4 linked regions of the Macaca fascicularis genome follow. The protein of the gene in region 4 interacts with the protein of the main gene of each other region in a biochemical or structural test. Links are inferred from orthologs where the notes say so. Each region holds a gene or a part of one and is shown on either strand. Other genes may lie near its edges.

The links.
Region 1: the proteins of BMPR1B (region 4) and GDF5 interact in a biophysical measurement, tested with the Homo sapiens proteins (3 studies listed by BioGRID and IntAct, with this or other methods). The link is inferred for Macaca fascicularis from reciprocal best matches to the Homo sapiens genes BMPR1B and GDF5.
Region 2: the proteins of BMPR1B (region 4) and BMP7 form a complex in vitro, tested with the Homo sapiens proteins (2 studies listed by BioGRID). The link is inferred for Macaca fascicularis from reciprocal best matches to the Homo sapiens genes BMPR1B and BMP7.
Region 3: the proteins of BMPR1B (region 4) and BMP2 form a complex in vitro, tested with the Homo sapiens proteins (3 studies listed by BioGRID and IntAct, with this or other methods). The link is inferred for Macaca fascicularis from reciprocal best matches to the Homo sapiens genes BMPR1B and BMP2.

The regions. Positions count from the first base shown.
Region 1 is NC_088384.1:91,491,553-91,496,396, forward strand, and holds the start of GDF5 (growth/differentiation factor 5), read right to left. Parts: upstream 3,066-4,844; 5' UTR 2,714-3,065; coding exon 2,089-2,713; intron 1-2,088. UniProt on the Homo sapiens protein: Growth factor involved in bone and cartilage formation. During cartilage development regulates differentiation of chondrogenic tissue through two pathways.
Region 2 is NC_088384.1:113,317,008-113,321,676, forward strand, and holds the start of BMP7 (bone morphogenetic protein 7), read right to left. Parts: upstream 3,139-4,669; 5' UTR 2,640-3,138; coding exon 2,222-2,639; intron 1-2,221. UniProt on the Homo sapiens protein: Growth factor of the TGF-beta superfamily that plays important role in various biological processes, including embryogenesis, hematopoiesis, neurogenesis and skeletal morphogenesis.
Region 3 is NC_088384.1:80,544,577-80,549,205, forward strand, and holds the start of BMP2 (bone morphogenetic protein 2), read right to left. Parts: upstream 3,130-4,629; 5' UTR 1,945-3,129; intron 706-1,944; 5' UTR 699-705; coding exon 353-698; intron 1-352. UniProt on the Homo sapiens protein: Growth factor of the TGF-beta superfamily that plays essential roles in many developmental processes, including cardiogenesis, neurogenesis, and osteogenesis. Induces cartilage and bone formation.
Region 4 is NC_088379.1:100,764,427-100,768,537, reverse strand, and holds part of BMPR1B (bone morphogenetic protein receptor type-1B), read right to left. Parts: intron 2,437-4,111; coding exon 2,306-2,436; intron 523-2,305; coding exon 397-522; 3' UTR 1-396. UniProt on the Homo sapiens protein: On ligand binding, forms a receptor complex consisting of two type II and two type I transmembrane serine/threonine kinases.

The sequences.
Region 1 (4,844 bases), on a different chromosome or scaffold from region 4:
TAACCAGGCATGGTGGCGTGCACATGTAGTCCCAGCTACTCAGGAGGCTGAGGTGGGAGGATTGACTGACCCCAGGGAGGTCGAGGCTTCAGTGAGCCATGAATTCACTACTGCACTCCAGCCTGGGCAACAGAGAGAGACCCTGGCTAAAAAACAAACAAACAAACAACAACAAAACAAATAAACAACAACAACAAAAAAAACCCATGCTTTTCTGGAGGAGAATCCCAAGGTTCAGAGAAGTTAGATGACTTGCTCAAATTCTCAGTTGCTTCCACCATCCCTTAAAGGAGACCTTAGTGCTCTTGTTTTACAGATGAGGCACAGAGATGGGGAGTGACTTGACTAAGGTCACACAGCAACTTAATGTCAAAGCTGGTCCACACTGACCTACAGCCCAATTTTCCTGGCTTCCCAGTGCAAGGATTTTGTTGCCTATGTGTCTTACTCTCCTGAGTGTGTGCGTGTGTTACAGTTGTATGTGTGTGTGTGATTAGGTTCATGTGTGAATATGAAAGAGTATACGTTAATGTTGGGTTCATGTGTGAATATGAAAGAGTATACGTTAATGATGCATTATATGTATAAATGATTGGGCTTGTGTACTATTTGAAGAGCACATATATGTATGTATGTGCATAATCGATCTTGTGTACACGTGTATGTAAGAAGGTGTGTGTGCACATGCGTACGTGTGTGATTCGGCATGCGTGTACATGTGTGATTCGGCATGTGTGTACATGTGTGGTTCAGCATGTGTGTACGTGTGTGAGTCAGCATGCGTGTACATGTGTGATTCAGCACGTCTGTATAAACATAAGGCTATGTATGTTTATGTGAGAAGCTCAGTAGTATCTCTGAATCAGCATGCCCTCCTTCCTGAATACCAATTTGCCATTGGGGAGCTTTCATATATTGCTCTAGAAGGTGACTAATTAGGCCTTTAAACTCCCCATCTCCCCCTCTCGAAGCTCCCTTAGTGCTGGGGGGCACAAGGACTTATTTTATGAGCCCCCAAGGGGTCACAGCTTTCCCTGGCTGGGCAGGCAGCCAGACCACCTCCCCCACCTCAGCCAGACCTGCTGCCTCTGTGCCTCTCCCACCCCCCCACCCCCCGCCCCGGCAGCCCCCTCCAGGCCAGCTCTAATGAGAAACCTCTCCCACCCTCTGACCCCTCCCCCACCCTGCCAGCCTAGGACCAGAGCAAATGAGCTGCAGGCAACTTGAGCGACCAACAGCCCACCTCCCTCTTCACACTAGGAAGAAACTGAGGCCCTCAGAGCGGGAGGGACTTGCTTAGATCACACAGCAAGTGGAGAGGAAAAGCTGCAACAGTAACACTAGGTGGGCAGAGAGAGACAGAGGGGAGCAGAGAGAGGTCTCCCGAGTTAATGTAAGGAGAATGAGGCGTGTTCAGGACAGGACCTAAAGTTTTCATGTCGGAAGCGCTCTCAGAAACCACCCTGTCCAACCCCATATAGGTGTACAGATGGGAAAACAGAGACCCCAAGTGAGAAGGGGCTTTCCCAAGGTCACACTGCGAGTTAGACCCTAGGTCTGCTCCCTCCCCATATATTCGAACATCATTCCATGACTCCAAGATGCCCCATTTACTGTGAGCACCTCTCTTGCCTCCTCTATCCCCTTGCCTGAGGGCAAAGTTGCAGAACCACGGGGACCTCAAGATTCATTTCTTTCTCTGCCATCTGAGACCACCTACAAACCCCTGGAGCGTGGAAAGTTCGGCCAGCCCAGCAGGGACAGATGCACAGCTGGGGAATCAAGTCTTGGAATCCGGTCTCCAACTCTGCCACCAACTGGCAGGTGTTGTCTCCTCTCTAGGCTTTAGTGCCCGCCCTGCACCTTGCAGGCATTGAACCTGGTGATTCCTAGGTGCCCTCCAGCCCTGATGTGTGGGCAGCTCGGGATCTGCTATGTGTGAGATATGTGTGAGCGTCCCCATACACCCACCCCGGGCCAGATGCACACAGTGTCTCCCACCAGGGCAGTGCCAGGGCTTTGAAAGCCCCTCCATTCATGCAGATGCCCCTCCCTCTGAGCCGTGCCCCTGCCACCCCGCCCCCTCACCTTGCCCTTTGTCAATAAAGCTGGTGATGGTGTTGGCCAGGCCAGCCTCCAACTTCACGCTGCTGTTGCCTCCCTTTCTGTCAGCATCGGACAGCGTCCTGTACAGCGAGAGCATGTACTCGTGGGGTGTGATGGGGGGCGGGCGGAACGGCTCCTTGGGCTCTCGCGGGGACCCGGGCTCCCTGGCCTTCTTCAGCAGGAAGGAGCTGGGGACAGATCCTGCTTTTGGGGGTACCTTGCCCCCGGGAAGCTGTCCTTTTGGGGTCACAGTCCGGGCTGTAGCCTGCCTTGTTTGGGGAGGGTGTCCTGGCTTGGGTTCAGGGCCACCCGGTCTGGGGGGCAGCTTTTTGGGTTCATCCTTTTTGGGCTGTGTCAGGCCTCCTGTGTGCCCGGTGCCTCCCTTTGCCCTGGCATTGGCGGCCCCCCCACCATAGCTGTGACCCCCTGGCCTGAAGACGTTCCGGGCCAGGGGGGGCCTCTCCTTGGCCTCTGCTTTGGCCAATCCTGGCCTGGTCCCCTGGGCTTTCTGGCCCCAGTCAGGGGCACCCAACACAGTGCAGATGAATTCCAGGTCCAGCCAAGCCAGGTACCAAAGCAAGAAAGTGAGGAGTTTGGGGAGTCTCATCCTCTGGCCAGCCGCTGAATGACACCAAAGAGAACAGCGGCAGCAGCGAAGGTGCCTCTGGTTTGGCAGGAAAAACCATGAAAGGAGTGGACTTTCAAAAGCAGCGGCAGCAGCAGTAGCAGCAGAAGGAAAGGCTTTCTCCTCAGTCTGAGACTCTTGAAGTCTGCCGGGTGTGTGTTTGTATCCAGTCCCATAGTGGAAATGCTCTCGTATCCAGACGTGCACCGTCTCCAGTCAGCAGCTGAAAATAACTTGTTCTTGAAAGGAGAAAGCCGACCGCCCCCTTTCTCCTGCACAACTGACTGAGGGCTTGAAGGAGGCTTGTATAAGGCTGAGGGATTTTTCCAAGAAGGAAGAATGGCGTAATGCTGCCTGTGTGCTCCAGTTTTTTTTTCCCCCTAGTTTTGAATCCTTTCCAGTGAAAATACTTCACACACACACACACACACACACACACACAGGCCTGCAGGTGCTCAGAAAAATCTTTTACAAACCTGAACTCAGGAATTGGAAACGGAATTCCAACCCAAACCAATTTAATTACTCTCTGATGTCATGCTGTCTAAACTCATTTAAGTGCGATATATTTATGTGAAAAAAATCACCGCTGCCCTTTCGAGGCCATGGCTCACGGGGGCTCTTGGCACAGAGCCCCGCAGCGGGACTCTAGGCTTAGGGGGCCTCCCCCTCCATGGAGCAGACTCAGGGGTCTTCACCTCCACCTCATGGAGCAGCCCACCCCACCTTCCCAAGGAGAGATGCTGAAGAATGAGCTCAAAGATCTTAAGCCCCAGAAGCATGGGGAGTGTGGGTTTGTAGTTAAGTCCTTAGAGTGTTTTTAAAGCAGTTTCAACTCCTGCATCTAGCCTGGGACCTGATTTGTTGTATGTGTGTGTTTATGTGTGTCTGTGTGTGTGTGCCTCTGTGTGTGTGTGTGTGTGTGTGTGTGTGTGTGTGTATTGGGAGTAGGGACAGCACAGATGGCAGCATTTACCCACATTTTCTTTTATTTTAATAAACTTGTGGTGACCCAGAGACTGAAAAATATCTGTGCCCACTACACCCCCTCCCTACCACCAAATGCCATTGACTGAGTGCATATTCTTCAGGCTTGGGGGCACTGCCGCCCTTAAGTCCACTCCTTGGATGGCGGCAGGTCCAGGGTGTACCCCACCTCCACCCCGGCAAAGACGTCCTCCGAGTTTTCTTAGAAGAGACTGGCTGAGTCTGGGGCAGCAGCGGCCCCTACAGGAGGCTGGAAAAGCCATTTCCCACATGATGCTTTTCTTTTTTCTTTTTTCTTTTTTTCTACGGAGTCTCGCTGTGTAGCCCAGGCTGGAGTGCAGTGGCGCGATCTCGGCTCCCTGCAAGCTCCGCCTCCCAGGTTCACGCCGTTCTCCCGACTCAGCCTCCCGAGTAGCTGGGACTACAGGCCCCCGCCACCACGCCCGGCTGATTTTTTATGTTTGTAGCACAGACGGGGTTTCACCGTGTTAGCCAGGATGGTCTCCATCTCCTGACATCGTGATCCAGCTGCCTCGGTCTCCTAGAGCGCTGAGATTATAGGCGTGAGCCACTGCGCCCGGCACAATTTCCCACATGATGCTTTTCTGGTAAGTCTGGAAGTTCTGAATTCCAGCTGAACTCGAGTATTCTAAATGAAAACCCATTGAAGTATGGAAGCTCCCTTCCTCTGGGGGACCTGTGCGATAGAGCCCCTGGGCAACTTACCCCAGGGTCAGCGGGGAAAGCTGTTCACTTCACCTGAAATCTCCTCCTCTCTCTCTCCCACAACTGGAGGAAGCACTCCACATCCTGAGAAGTTTAGCTGAAAATTCACCTCCTTCGGGAAGTCTTTCCTGGTCCCCAGACAGGGCCAATTACCCCTTTTGTACATTTCACTGCAACAACACTTGTTATGCTGTAAGAAGGACGGCCGGGGAGAAGCAATAGTCAGCTAGGCTTTTCTTTTTTTTTTTTTTTTTGAGACAGAGTCTCGCGCTGTCACCTAGGCTGGAGTGCAGTGGCATGATCTTGGCTCACTGTAACCTCTGCCTCCTGAGTTCAAATGATTCTCCTGCCTCAGCCTCCCGAGTAGTGGGACTACAGGTGCACACCACCATGCCTATCT
Region 2 (4,669 bases), on a different chromosome or scaffold from region 4:
TTCTCTGGGGGACAGGGAGCCCCTGGGGCCTCGCCCACACCGCCGGCCCATAAGCAGTGGCAGCTTTTTTGCTCTTGGTTTGCAGGGCCTTCTACAGAAGCCGGAGATTACAAATACCTTTTTAATGACCCCAGCCAGGCTCTGAAGGCAGCCGCTGGGATCTGCACATTCAGTGGGAGTCCAGGGTACCCAACAGAATGGAAGATGCCATAAATCCCCCACCAGAGAAAGGGCCTTGGCTAACCCCAGGCTTCAGGAGGGCGACAGAGCTCTGCCTTCATTATTTGTGTGTATGTATTTGGAATTTTCCTTTAGTTTTTGGTATAGTTAATAAATACGCATTGTTTTTTTAAAAAAATCACCAATACAGAAGTGCAGACAATGAAACATTAGACCCCAGCTCCCACTCCCTAAGCCCCAGCTGTGCCCCCACCTCTCTAGCCCTCCAGTAAGATCTCTCTCCAGTTCCTGGTGTCTTCCTCCAGGAGGACACGATGATACACAAAAGCATACATGCAGGCCGCTCACCTGCACCTTGCTTCTTTCCACCTCATGCATCTCGGAGATGGTTCTAAATCAGGTCATATGTTGCTGCTTCCCTCTTAACTGGCTGCTTAGTATAATTTAAACTTTCTTGAAGGTATTTTGGCATCTAAACCTCCCACCCCTTGCTCGCTGAAGCTTGGCTCACTAGCTGGATTTGGTTATTAAGTACAGACAATGGCCTCCCCGGGAACTCCAGGGACCTTATCAGGAGGGGGAAGCATGAAGGCGGATCTGCGCTTCCCCGCGCCCCCAGTCCACGCCCCAGGTGCCCAGCGTGGGGCTTCAGTATCATTATTTCCATGTTGACACAGCGCCCGTGGGCGTGAGTTTGCTGTCTTGACTTGGTTCGGGTTTTCGCAGCAAGTTACACAAGTAGAATGAAAGCGCTCAGGAAACAGCGCTATCCGGGCGTGTTATCTCGGAAACCAAATATTTGATCATCAGTCCCGCAGAGCGCTGCCGGGGGTTAGTTTGAGCAAGTCTGGAGAATGAGTGCGCGCAGACGGAGGGGGAGCTCCCCGGCCCTCGCCGCAGCCCCAGGCTCGCGTCCCCGGGGTCGTCGCGGCTCCAATCGTAAACTGGGACCCCCAGTCGCCCCCGCGGCGTCAGCTCGGAGATCCCGCGCAACCCAATCGCCAAAACCTGTGGTTTGCGCGCCACACGTGATAAATGCTGAAAATGGATTCTGCCGGCCCGAGACCTACCACTAAATATTTAAAATAGAAAACTAGAGCCAGGGCACTGTGGCTCACGCCTGTATTCCGAGCACTTTGGGAGGTTGAGGCAGGAGGATCACCTGAGATCGGGAGTTCGAGACCAGCCTGACCAACATGGAGAAACACAGTCTCTACTAAAAATACAAAATTAGCCAGGCGTGGTGGTGCATGCCTGTAATCCCAGCTACTCGGGAGGCTGAGGCACGAGAATCGCTTGAACCCGGGAGGCAGAGGTTGCGGTGAGCAAGGATTGCGCCATTGTACTGCAGCCTGGACAAGAAGAGCGAAACTCCGTCTCAAAAAAAAAAAAAAAAAGAAAAAAAGAAAATAAAGAAAATAAAAGAAAGAAAAAAAAAGAAAAAAGAAAAGAACGCAAACTAGCAAGCTCCCCAACTCCAGCCAAGAGAGAATGGGGCATCCGGCGGCCCGGAGAGGGGCCCCAAGGCGTTCGGAGCGCGCGGTAGGCTAAGGCGGGCGCACCACTAGGGGACAGGTAGGGCTTGTCAGGGCGGGTAAGGGAGTGCGACGGCCGAGATGCCAGGGCCAGGCAGGGCTGAGAGGGGCCCAGGAAGGGCGGGAAGGCAGCCTCGCCGGGAAGGGCCCTTTACATCCAGGTAGCGCGAGCCGCGCCAGCCCAGGACAGCTCACATGACCAAGCCCCGCGCTTTGAACGGCCGGCGCCTCCAGTCCCAGAGATGCGGCCGGCGGCGTAACATGGAGGGGACTTCCGAGGATCCCTCCTTCCCAGTAACCCCCACAGGCCCACCGAGCCCAGCGCGCCAGACCTGGAGGCGCACACAGCTTGGGAGCCATAGGGCCGTGGGTGGGAGACCCTCGGGCAGGCACTGCGATTTCAACCAGGAGCAGAAAGCTGGGCGGGCTGTATAGAAGAAGCGGCTCCCTCCCTCCCGGTTTCAAAGTGCCCCCGAACAGACACGCGTACCCCCGCCTGCCCTTACCGAGGTTGACGAAGCTCATGACCATGTCGGCGTCGGTGAGGAAATGGCTATCTTGCAAGCTGGCCAGAGGGGGGCCCTGGGTGCTGAAGACGGCCTTGTAGGGGTAGGAGAAGCCCTGGCCGCCGGGCCCGCCGCCCTCCTCCACCGCCATGGCGTTGTACAGGTCCAGCATGAACATGGGCGCCGAGTTGTGCTTGCCCTGGAGGTGCGGGCGCGGGCGGTGGGGCAAGCCCAAAATGGAGAGGATCTCGCGCTGCATCTCCCGCCGCTCCTGGCTGCGGAGGCGCCGATGGATGAAGCTCGAGTGCACCTCGTTGTCCAGGCTGAAGTCGGCCAGGGCGGAGCGCAGCAGGAACAGGGGTGCCCAGAGCGCCACGAAGCTGTGCGGCGCCGCAGCGCGCAGCGAGCGCACGTGCATCGCGCCGGCTCTACGCGCGACCCGGGCTCCGGGCTTCGGGCTCCGGGCCCGCACCGCCCCAGGTGGCAGAAGGGGCAGGCGGCCGTTCGCGCCGCTCGGTCACTTGCTGCAGACGGGCCCCGCTGCGCCCGCGCCAGACATGGCCCCTCCCCGGCCTGCCGCGCTCTGCCCGGACCCCCGCCCCCTGCTGGGTGCTGGCCCCGGGCCCCTCGCCCCGCACTCGCCCGGGCGCACCGCCGGGCTTGGAAAGCAGCCCCGGCGAACGAAGAGGCGAGTGAGGAGGCGGGCGCGGGTGGGAGGAGCAGCCAGCAAGCCTAGGAGTCCAGAGAGCCAGTGCCGGGGAGGCAGCGAGGAGGCAGGCGGGCGGGCTAGCGCTCCTTCTTCCCGCTCCTCTGGCGCTCTCGCCCTCAGGCGGCGGCGACCCACCCTCTTCCAACCTCTGGCGTGGAGAGCAGGGGCCCCGGGGCGCTCTCCCAGCCCTGCGCGCCCTGGATCGCACAAGAGGCCGCCTCTGGAGCGCCAGAGTGGTACACGCTGGGGCCTGGGCAGAGGAGGAGGAGGAGGACGGGCTTCAAGGGGCCCCTCCCGCGCCGGCGGCCTCCCACCTGCCCTCGGCCCCGCCCTCCCCCTAGCTGTGCCCAATGGGTTCATTCATTCCCTCTAGAGCGCTCGACAAATGTTTACCGAGTGCCCACGGGGAGCCTAGAGCCTGGCGGGACGTCGCGGGGATGCGGCTGGAGGAATCCAAGCCGGCCCTGCCCTCTTGGCACTCGCGGTCCGGACCAGGAAGGCGGCCCGAACGGGACCGGTGGGCTGCGGGCCGCGGTGGGAAAAGTTGGGGGAGCGCGGAGGTGGCGCGGAAATAGAAGGCTTCCTGGAAGCGGTGACCCTTGAGGCGGTCTTGCCCCTCAGTCCCCGTCTCCTTTTAAGCCAGCCACGCTGACCCCTCCGCGCCTCTCTGAACCGGTTGCCAGCTTGTCTCTGCGCTCGCCATTCCCTCCGCCTGGACGCCTTCCGGCTCACCACCTCCCGCCCCCCATCAGACCCTGCTTTCTCCCAGAGACCTCCAAGACCTGCCAAGCTGAGGTTGTTTCCTCGCCTCACCCCCACGTACATTTGTTTTCTTTCCTGTAATTTCTCTTGCTGTCTGGAATTGTTGTTTGAGTTACTCCGTGCCTTCTTTATTGCCTTCTTATCCCCGCTAGACGCCCAGCGCACTGAGGCCAGGACCAGCGATCTTCTCCGCAGCTCTGGTGCCCGCAGTGCCTTGAACCCAGCGCCTGGTAGCCACTGTGGCTGCGCAATCACGATTTGTTGAGTGAATAAGTGAACTTCGTTTGAGCTGGGGGGTTCTTCCCACTTTCTCCTCTAAGGGGCCCTGTATCTTTCCAGCCACCCCTCAGCCTGAGACCAGACACCCCAGCCCCACCACTAGGGGTTCCCATCAGCCCTCCCCGTCGCAGTGCCTGGGGAGCCAGCCGCTGGTCTTCGCATCCTCTTCCCCTCCAAGGGTCTGTGCCTGAGACCTCCCCATCAGCCTCCTCTCCTGCCTCTCCTCATCTATTCATCCCTCAATCAATACTGAGACATGCACGCTGTCACAGCGAGTCCCCAGACCACTCAGAACCTACTGGTCCCTCTGCCAGTGTGGGATCTCAAGGGAATTACTGCACCCAGAGTGGCAGTGAGGGCAGCAGGGTAAAAGTTCATCCTGTCTCCTTCCCCTGCTGGGGCTGGGTGAGAGAGGATCCCCAGAGGGGCTCTGGGATGAACTGGGAAGGACTGAGGTTAGGGAAGCGGGTGGGGGCAGGGGGGTTGTCTGGGAGGGGCTCTGGCTAAGCCTCACTTTGGGGCTGTCCTTCCTGGAGCACGAGAGCTGGGGAAGAGAATTATGGTCTTCGACAGTTTTCTGGAGCAGAAGTAGTTTGACCAAGTGGTCCTCTGGGTCTCCCTTGGGGGCTTTTGGACTAGATGGCAGCCTGAGGAGCCACATGGGTAGAGAAAGGGGAGGCCAGAGGCCAGGCAAGGAG
Region 3 (4,629 bases), on a different chromosome or scaffold from region 4:
CCTTTTCCTCCTTTTCCCTCTGTGGAATTCTTGCACGTTTAGCTGACTAGGGGCATGCCTTTTGCCCTCATCTTCCCCATCACTTGATTTCTCTCCAATCCTTCCGGGAGGAGTAGCTCTTCTGGCTGCAAGCCAGGAAGAGGGTGCGGAGTTACTAAAGGGGAATCCCTGGCTCCACCACCACACAAGCAGTGAGTTAAAATCAGATTCAGAAACCATAGTACAGAAGCAAGAGTGGAAACGTCCGCTGGCGCCCTGGCTAAGCTGCCTCTATAGGGATGGCTGCAGTCTGCCCACGGTGGAGGGCTTTGCAGGGTGACTCCCCGCCCCCACGCCCTGCTCCATGCCTCACCTTCATGGTGGAAGCTGCGCACAGTGTTGGCTCGGCTGGCTGCCCTCTCCAACCGGTGGTCTGGGGCAGGTGAGCCCGGCTGACCCGAGTGCCTGCGATACAGGTCTAGCATGTAGGGGGGCACCACGGCGTCCCTGCTGGGGGTGGGTCTCTGTTTCAGGCCGAACATGCTGAGCAGCCGCAACTCGAACTCGCTCAGGACCTCGTCAGAGGGCTGGGATGAGGGGCGGCCCGACGACGACGCCGCGAACTTCCTGCGGCCCAGCTCCGGAACGAGGCCAGCCGCGCCGCCCAGGAGGACCTGGGGAAGCAGCAACGCTAGAAGACAGCGGGTCCCGGCCACCATGGTCGACCTGCGGACAGGACCGACGTGAGTCACCCGAGCTCCCCGCCCAGTCCTCCCCCCTCGCGCCCCCGCGGCCCGGGCTCCCATTTGGCTGGCGTGCCTCCTCCAGGTTGCCCTCCTGGCTTGGCACACTCGCGAGTCTAGGTAAGACCGACCGAAGCTCAAATGTTTGGGATAATGAAGGGCCCCAAGTTCCAGAACCAGGTGATTTATCGCTCCCATCCAACTCTTAACTTGTCTAACATCAGATTTGGGGTTTGCCCTCCCCTCCCAACCAAACCAGCGCCAATGACTGTCACTTTTTTGTGTGTAACACAGCGCTGACTGCCAATGCTGGGAACCTGGGAGAACCACCGCTTGGTCTGACACCCTGCGTCCCCTATACAAACCCAAATGCAGAGCGCTGAGCGCTCTCTGGCATATAAACACACACAAATGGTGCATGTGACTTCCTTAGAGGCACTGTATAGAACTTCCTGACACACACACACACACCCCTATAACTTCCAGACCCTGTAAGCTCAAGGCCACAACTTCTGAAGCCACTTACAACTTGTGTCCCACGCCCCTACACTCAGGGGTGTCTGGAGAGGCAACTCCATCCCGCATCCCCGTAGTACGGTCAAGATACTCATGTATCTTCCTGGGATTACATACATGGTGAATATCTATTAATGCACGTGTCAGCTGTTAAAAACACAGCACCAAGTGATTCTTCAGTACTGACCCCTCGCATTTCTGGAAACAAGAAGGGAGAGCCCCAACTCCTAGTACTTTTCTCAATGGGATAGGGCTCTGAGTAAAGAAACCAAGTCTCCCAGAAACACTAGAAGAAGGGAGATCGCCATGGCAGGGTGGACAGGTTCTCAGCTAACGGGTGAAACCCAGGGGCTACCCTCTCAAAGGGATTTCTTTGACTCAAAAAAAAAATAAATAAATAAATAAATAAAATAAATAATTTAAAAATAAATAAATAAACAAAACACCTCATCTAAGTGTTAACAGCTCCAAAAGTATTCCGGGGAGAGGGTAAGAAAGAGGGGTGGAAGAGTGCGGGCCGGGAGGGTGAGGCTGATGGTCGCCCGGGACAGCTGGAAGGGGGCACCCCGCAGGGCTCCGTTGCACGTGGACTGGAAAGGGGTCTGTTTACTTCTGGCCTGGACGTAAGGAAGGGCTCTGCCGCAGTGGCTGCCCAAATCCCCCTCCCACCTACCACCTACCCCGGCCCCTGGCCCGCGTCCTCTACCTTTAGGAGACCGCAGTCCGTCTAAGAAGCACGCGGAGACACGTCCATTGAAAGAGCGTCCACATGGAAAAACTCTGGTCAAAGGACCTGGCGCAAGGACCGAATGTCCGTTCCTTTTCTTTGCCTCCTCCTTCTCCCGGGTGCCGGCCGCGCAGTCTCTTTTCACGCTGGGAACAGCGTCTCAGTCTCGGGCAAGGCCGAGGAGTGGAGGGGCGGTGGGGCTCGGAGGTGGCGAGGCAGGCTCCGCTGGGGCAAAGGCACGGGCGCAAAGTGGGGAGCTCAAGTTATTCTCCCTGCAAGTTCAAGAAGTCCCCAGCCAAGTGCTGACACACAACAACAGCGAGCAGGGGGAGGAGTGCGGGGCAGGGAAAGGAAGGGAGAAAGGAGAAGCTGGTGCTGTCGTCCTCCTTAGGAACCAGCGCCCGAGGGACGCGTGGCCCCGCGCGGGGCCGGCTCCAGGACTCAGGGAGCGAGGGTCGGGCGCTCTGCGCTAGCTCCGCCGCGGCCCATGGCTCGGGGCAGCCATCCTGGGCGACGCCGGGTCCGGGGAAGGGCACGGCGGCGATTTCGGTGCCAGGCGAGTTGCCCCCCCGCATCACTCTGCCTTACTCCAGTGCACCCCCATTCGCGCTCGCCAGTTGAAAGCACCGCGGCTCTGGCGCCCCGTCGTCCTCGGGCGCATTCTCCGGCGAGTCGAGCCAAGTCCCGGGCCGCCGAGGCGGGTGGTTGTGCTCTCTCCTCTCTCTCCTAACCCTGGGGCCAAATGCCCTTTGTGACTAGCCTGGGGTCCGATCACACCTCGGCCGGCGCTTCCCAGGCCCCCGATCTCCTGCAGTAGGTGCCCCGCATCGCGGCGCTAGGGATCGGCTCCGGAGTCGCCGGCGCTCTGCGCGCCCGTCCGCGACTCTGGCGCAGCCGGGGCAGCAGAGGCCACGGCGCTGTGGCGCGCTCTGCCGGGTGCTCCAGCCCGCGCGGGGTCTGCGGCGCGCGGATGCCTCGCGGTCCCCGGTGATCCGCGCGGCGCTGGCCCCGAGAACGTTCGGGTCGCCGGCGGAGGCTGTGGCGGCAGATGTGCGGCGGAGGCTGCCAGTCCCCGGCAGGGTGTGGGAAGCGGAGCGACTAGCGCAGCGCGAGCCCGGCGCAGCGCGGCGGGGCGAGGACTCCGGCGGCGACGGCGGCGGCGGCGCCGTGGCGCGGCGCTCGCGGCTTTTAAAGGGGACGCCGCCTGCCGGCTCCCTCCCGGCCGCGGCCGAACACCTCCCCCTTCGCGGCGCGGCTCGCCGGGGATCCCCGAGCGGGCGGGAGCTGCGCGCAGGGGTGTGGACGGCGCGCCCGGGCAGCCGCGGCGGGGTGGGGCGGAGGGCGGGGGCGCGCGGCCGCCAAGGGGGGCGCTCGCGCCTCCACTCCCTGTCCTCAAAGGAGAGATCAGCTGGCGCGCCGGACCCTCGCGGGGACTCCGGAGGCGAAATCCAGGACAAATGCAGGGTCAGGGTCTGGCTTCTATTTCCCCTCTGGGCCCGTTATTCAACTTTCAGTTTGGAGTTTTTCGATAATATACAATTTCAAAAAACAAAACAAAACAAACACCTCAATTACAGCGCATTTTGGCATAGCATAGACGTCGGATTCACGCTTCTGTTTCCCCGGAATAGGAGGAAAATTAAAAGAAAACAGGAGGCTGGAAATTGAGTGTTTTTAAACATTAATACAAAGAGATGTATGTATTTACATATGTAAATGCATGTGTACAAATTTCCTTTTACATAAATATGTGTGTGCATTTATTTTCATATCCATATGCATGTTACAGTTATATAAATATATCCAATATACAAAAATATGTACATATATTTCTATATATTCATATATGAGAACATATGCAACCGAAGGTAAACATTTCGGTAAATATATGTCTACGTGTGTGACATGGATGTCATCCTGCTTTACGTGACATGTGTGTAACGTAGACTGTGTGTGTGGCAGCCTGAGGGATGGATGGGAGGGATTTGATTTCTTTTCATGGTACAACCACTTTGTGCCTTGTGATGTTTATCTCACCCAGCTCAGAGGCAGGCGATTAACAGCTCAGAGGAAGGTAAAATAACGCACTGTGTGAACCAAGCATACAGGACAATTTCAGTTTGGGACCTTGGAACCTTCTACTCCACCCTCTTCCATCAGGCCCCCAAGAAGTAGGGCTGTGACACGTGGCCAAGTCACTCCTCAGCTGAATATTCGCTCAAGTCACTCCTCAGCCGAAACATTCCTCAGAGCTGCTGCACGATGAGTCTGGGGCCAAGGCTTTCTGGCCTTCCCAGGATTCCAGGAGCCCCCATGCACAGCACCTCGGGCTTGCCCAAATGATTCCCGAAATCAAGGGCAGAACATTTTTGGAAGAGGCCACGGTCTACTTTCCCAGAGCTATCGGGCCTGCAAACCAGAGAGAAAAAAGTCAAGCGGGAGCTGGTAATAAAACTATTATCCATGTGTATTATTTTTTCGGTGGGGGAGCTAAAATAATACCAGGTTCCGCTCACGTAAATCGGATTAGCAACCCACAGAGGCCAATCAGGCCCTTGCTGTTTCTAAAGGTATGAAGGTCAAATAAGGTATTTTGGAGGAAGCCTGACTACCAGGAAAATAAAACGGGGTGGGGGGAATTATTCAGGAACATGCTACTTTATT
Region 4 (4,111 bases):
AAGAACTTTTGTTGTTATTATTTAAACTATAATTCTATAACCCTTAAACCATCCACATTATCTGTTTTATTTTGGCAAAATGAAAGCATCTTAAAAAAAAAAAAAAAGGCAATCCCAAAATACAGGGCTTTCTCAGAAAGCAACATGCATCATATCTTGAACAAGTTACCCAAGCGGTTTCTCCCTCCTACAAACAGACACAGATCAATCTCTGCTTCTGGGAGCTTCTCTGTCTTTGTCCAGGTCGCTCCCTGAGAGGTAAGGTCTGAACCCACTGGGAAGCAGGACGATGTTCAAGGCTTGTACTGTGGATGCTTATTTGACGTCTTTTGCTCTGCCCACAAACAGAAGAGTACCTGTTGGCTTTCTGCAGAGATGCTTACTTTTCCTGTCATATCAGAGTTTAATGTCCTGGGACTCTGACATTTTGGCAAGTGTTTTCTTAACACGCAGGGCTGTCAGCCTTGATGCAGGATTGTGAGCCCAGCATTCTGTCATGAGTTTCCCCATCTGCCTTAGACACTGAGGAAGAGAAATGTTAGAAAAATGTATCATCTGCAATGCTGGCACCTGATACAATGTAGCTTTTTAGCTTTAGGTTCATTAAGTTTGAATATATTTTTAAAAGGTACCCTTAAAACCATGTAGGAATAAAATTCTGTAGGTTTTTTTCATGCAAAATTATATATGACTAAAACAGATGTTCATGTCTTCTTTGTGACAGAAGCAAGCAGGTGGTTCTGCTGACTGTAGAAGGGTGTCTTTGAAGTTAGTGTTAAGCAAACATAAACATACCCAGGGAGTTTGTATTCCACTCAGTACTCCCAGATTGTTTACAACACTTGATAAGTTTAAATCTTTTATCTAATTCCACACTATGCAAACACAGTTATTCCTAAATCATAGCTGTCTGCTGCAGTAATAGCATCACACTGCACCATTTAACAAGATTAATGACCTGTGCACAGCATCACTAAAACTTTCTCCTGTGGTACATCAATTATTGGTCTTCCTATTGAAAAGTACAATTTCACTTCATAAGAAATCCTCAGTGAAGAGATTTCAAGTAACACCAAAAGCCGACAATAACAGAGCTCCAGCATCTCATAAAGCTTTCTGCACAGCTTGCTGGAAAACATATATTATTATATAGCATTTTAGTAACCAGACACAAAACCAACGAGCCAAAGGTGTTTTTGTTGTTGTTGTTGTTTGTTTGTTTTGAGACAGGGTCTTGGTCTGTCGAGTGCAGTGGCATGATTCTGGCTCACTGCAACCTCTGCCTTCTGGGTTCAAGCAATTCTTGTGCATCAATCTCCTGAGTAGGTGGGAATACAGGCGTGAACCACAACACTAAGCTATTGTTTGCATTTTTTAATAGAGATGGGTTTTCACTATATTGGCCAGGCTGGTCTTGAACTTCTGGACTCAAGTGATCCACCCGCCTCGGCCTGCCAAAGTGCTGGGATTACAGATGTGAGTCACCATGCCCGGCCCAGAGATTACTTTTAAATGGCTTTTACACTTAAGAAATAGTGCTCTGTCCCTCCTTTGCAGTGCTTTGGTAGATGTTTGATAAGAGCCGGGTTTTTTTTTTTTTTTTTTTTCTCCCAGCGGTGCTTCAAACTCATCTTGAATATTCCAGTCCGCCAGAGAACTCTAGAACACAGTGAGTTTGAAGGCTGGGAGGGTGGAAGGAGAGGAATGTGGAACAGGAGGAGGAGTCAGGAAAGGCTAGACTCATTTCCTCCTTCCTAGCAGCTCCTTTCCAGACCTATGTAGGTTTCACCACTACATCCTTAGAGCCAAGCTGAAGGTGGATTTGTTCAAATCACATATCATCCTTATTAACAAAGACACCCAGCACAGTCAGGTATCTTAACTAGGTCAACTTGTATCACTTTAACATGCTTACTTTTTTCTCTAATCAAAATGGGAGAACGCTGTACATGGGTTTGTTACAGAGAAAAATCATGATGCTTTAAAAACACACACAGAGAAATAATAGGTTTTATGCAAATGTCAAGACATTATAAATAAGGAAAATAGTGTTATTTGTTATGCAGGTTAAACACTGACCAGCCCACTCAATATATTCTGGAACTGGCAAAATAAAATTGGAAAAGTAGAACAAGTAATTTAATAAACTACACTTATCTTCATATAAATCACTGCAAAAAGGTGCCATCACCATCACCATTAAAACAAAGAAGAATTCCTACAATGAATACGTGGAATTTTGGCTAAAACAGAAGTCTATTTAGAAGTCAGTTGCAGCCACATGGTTACCTCAATTGAGCCTTACCTCATCACTGCTCCATCGGTTTGGGAATGAGGGGCGTAACTTCTTGATGCACACAATCTCTCTCATGTCCTCGTAGGAGGGGTCACTGGGCACTAGGTCATGATAAGGAAGCTGGTATTCTTCCACTATACCTAAAATGTGTTATTGTTATTATTTTCTGTGAAGTAGAAATAAAAGTCTAACACAGCTCTCAAAGGAAAAGTGCTATCAGTATTACAGACAAGTTCAGGCAGAAAAAAAGCAAAATAAACCTTGAAAAATATTTACCCAAATGGTGCTTAATCTAATTTAGAAAAAATGAATACAAAGCCCAATGAAAAGTATTATCATAGGTCTTCAAGACTTTCTTTCCTAATTTCCAAACGCTAAGTAAAACAAGCATCTTAAATTTATTTCCAATTTTATAAAGAACAAATTAAAAGACAAATCTATGTTAAATCTCAATGCAAATTTGCAAGACATATCCTGAACTCATATTACATAACATGTGACTATTTCTATTACTATAGTATGAAACTATGAACATAATTTGGAAGTGTATTCTACTTGAACGAAGTGTCAGATTTACATTTTTTTCTGCTTAATTGGAGGAATGTGGTTTTGTCCATTAAAATTTAGAAAATTATAGACACCCAAAAATATTAACTATGAATTTTTTAGGTCCAAGGATTATCTGATTTTTTTCTATATTTATCCAACTTTTCAATAACAAATACATTACTATTAGAAAAAGTATGTATTGTTAAGAGTTAAGAAATACAAATCTATAGCATCTTCATAAAAATGTACACTAAACTGTTTCATTTTATCGTTCCTAGTATTTCATTTCTACCTTTTTCCTCTTCTCCTTTAAAAATGCAGGCTTCTAGTGTCTTCTTTTTCACCTTCTCAGATTAACTCCTCATAATAATTACATTAGAGGCTGCTGCTCTGAACAGTCTGTTTATATAAAGCTACCTTGTTTTTAAGCTGAGAATAGTTTCTCCTGTATTTGGCCCACAGGCTTTCAAATATAGGCTTCTTATAGCCCTGTCTCTTTAGATGTTCAAGAAAACATAATTAGAAAATAATCTTGTTCTCTACACCTTTAACTTCCACAAAGCTACCTTAATTAAGTATAAGCATGTTATTTTTTAAAAGGCTCGTCTACTTGATTTTTTTTTCTTTTTTAATACAGACTGGGTCCCAACCTATTGCCCAGGCTAGTCCTTAACTCCTGGCTTCCAGCAATCCTCCCCACTCAGCCTCCCAAAATGCTGGGATTGCAAACGTGAGGTTTATCTACTCCTTATAATGCATGAAATCAAGGCATAGACCATCTGTTAATTTCTTGCTTACTTCTTCTTTACATTTAGAATGAGAAATTTATTCAATATCTGGTTAGAGAAAATTTCCTGCATTAACTTTCCTTTTGGACAAAACAGTTCTCTCACTTCAGAGAGAATGTGTCCTATTTCAAATTTCTTACAACAGGTTCAGAATTCCCAAAGTGATTATTAGAAGGCATTGTGCCACTGAAGATGATCTTTCTATCAAAGTATGAATGCAGGTTGATTAACTGTTTCTTCTTTGTATTTAAATATGAACCTAAAGATGGTATGGTTCTACCAACCAAAATGAAAATTTTTAATAGTAATAATAGCTAACATGTATTGAGTGCTAATTATGTGCCAGGCAGTTCTCATTATCTTTACATTCATTGAAACCATACAACCAAAGAAGCGGATACAATAATTCACTTCATCCTTAAGAGGAGAACTCTGAAACAAAGAAAAGGTTATAACCTGTCCAAGGCATCACAGGTAA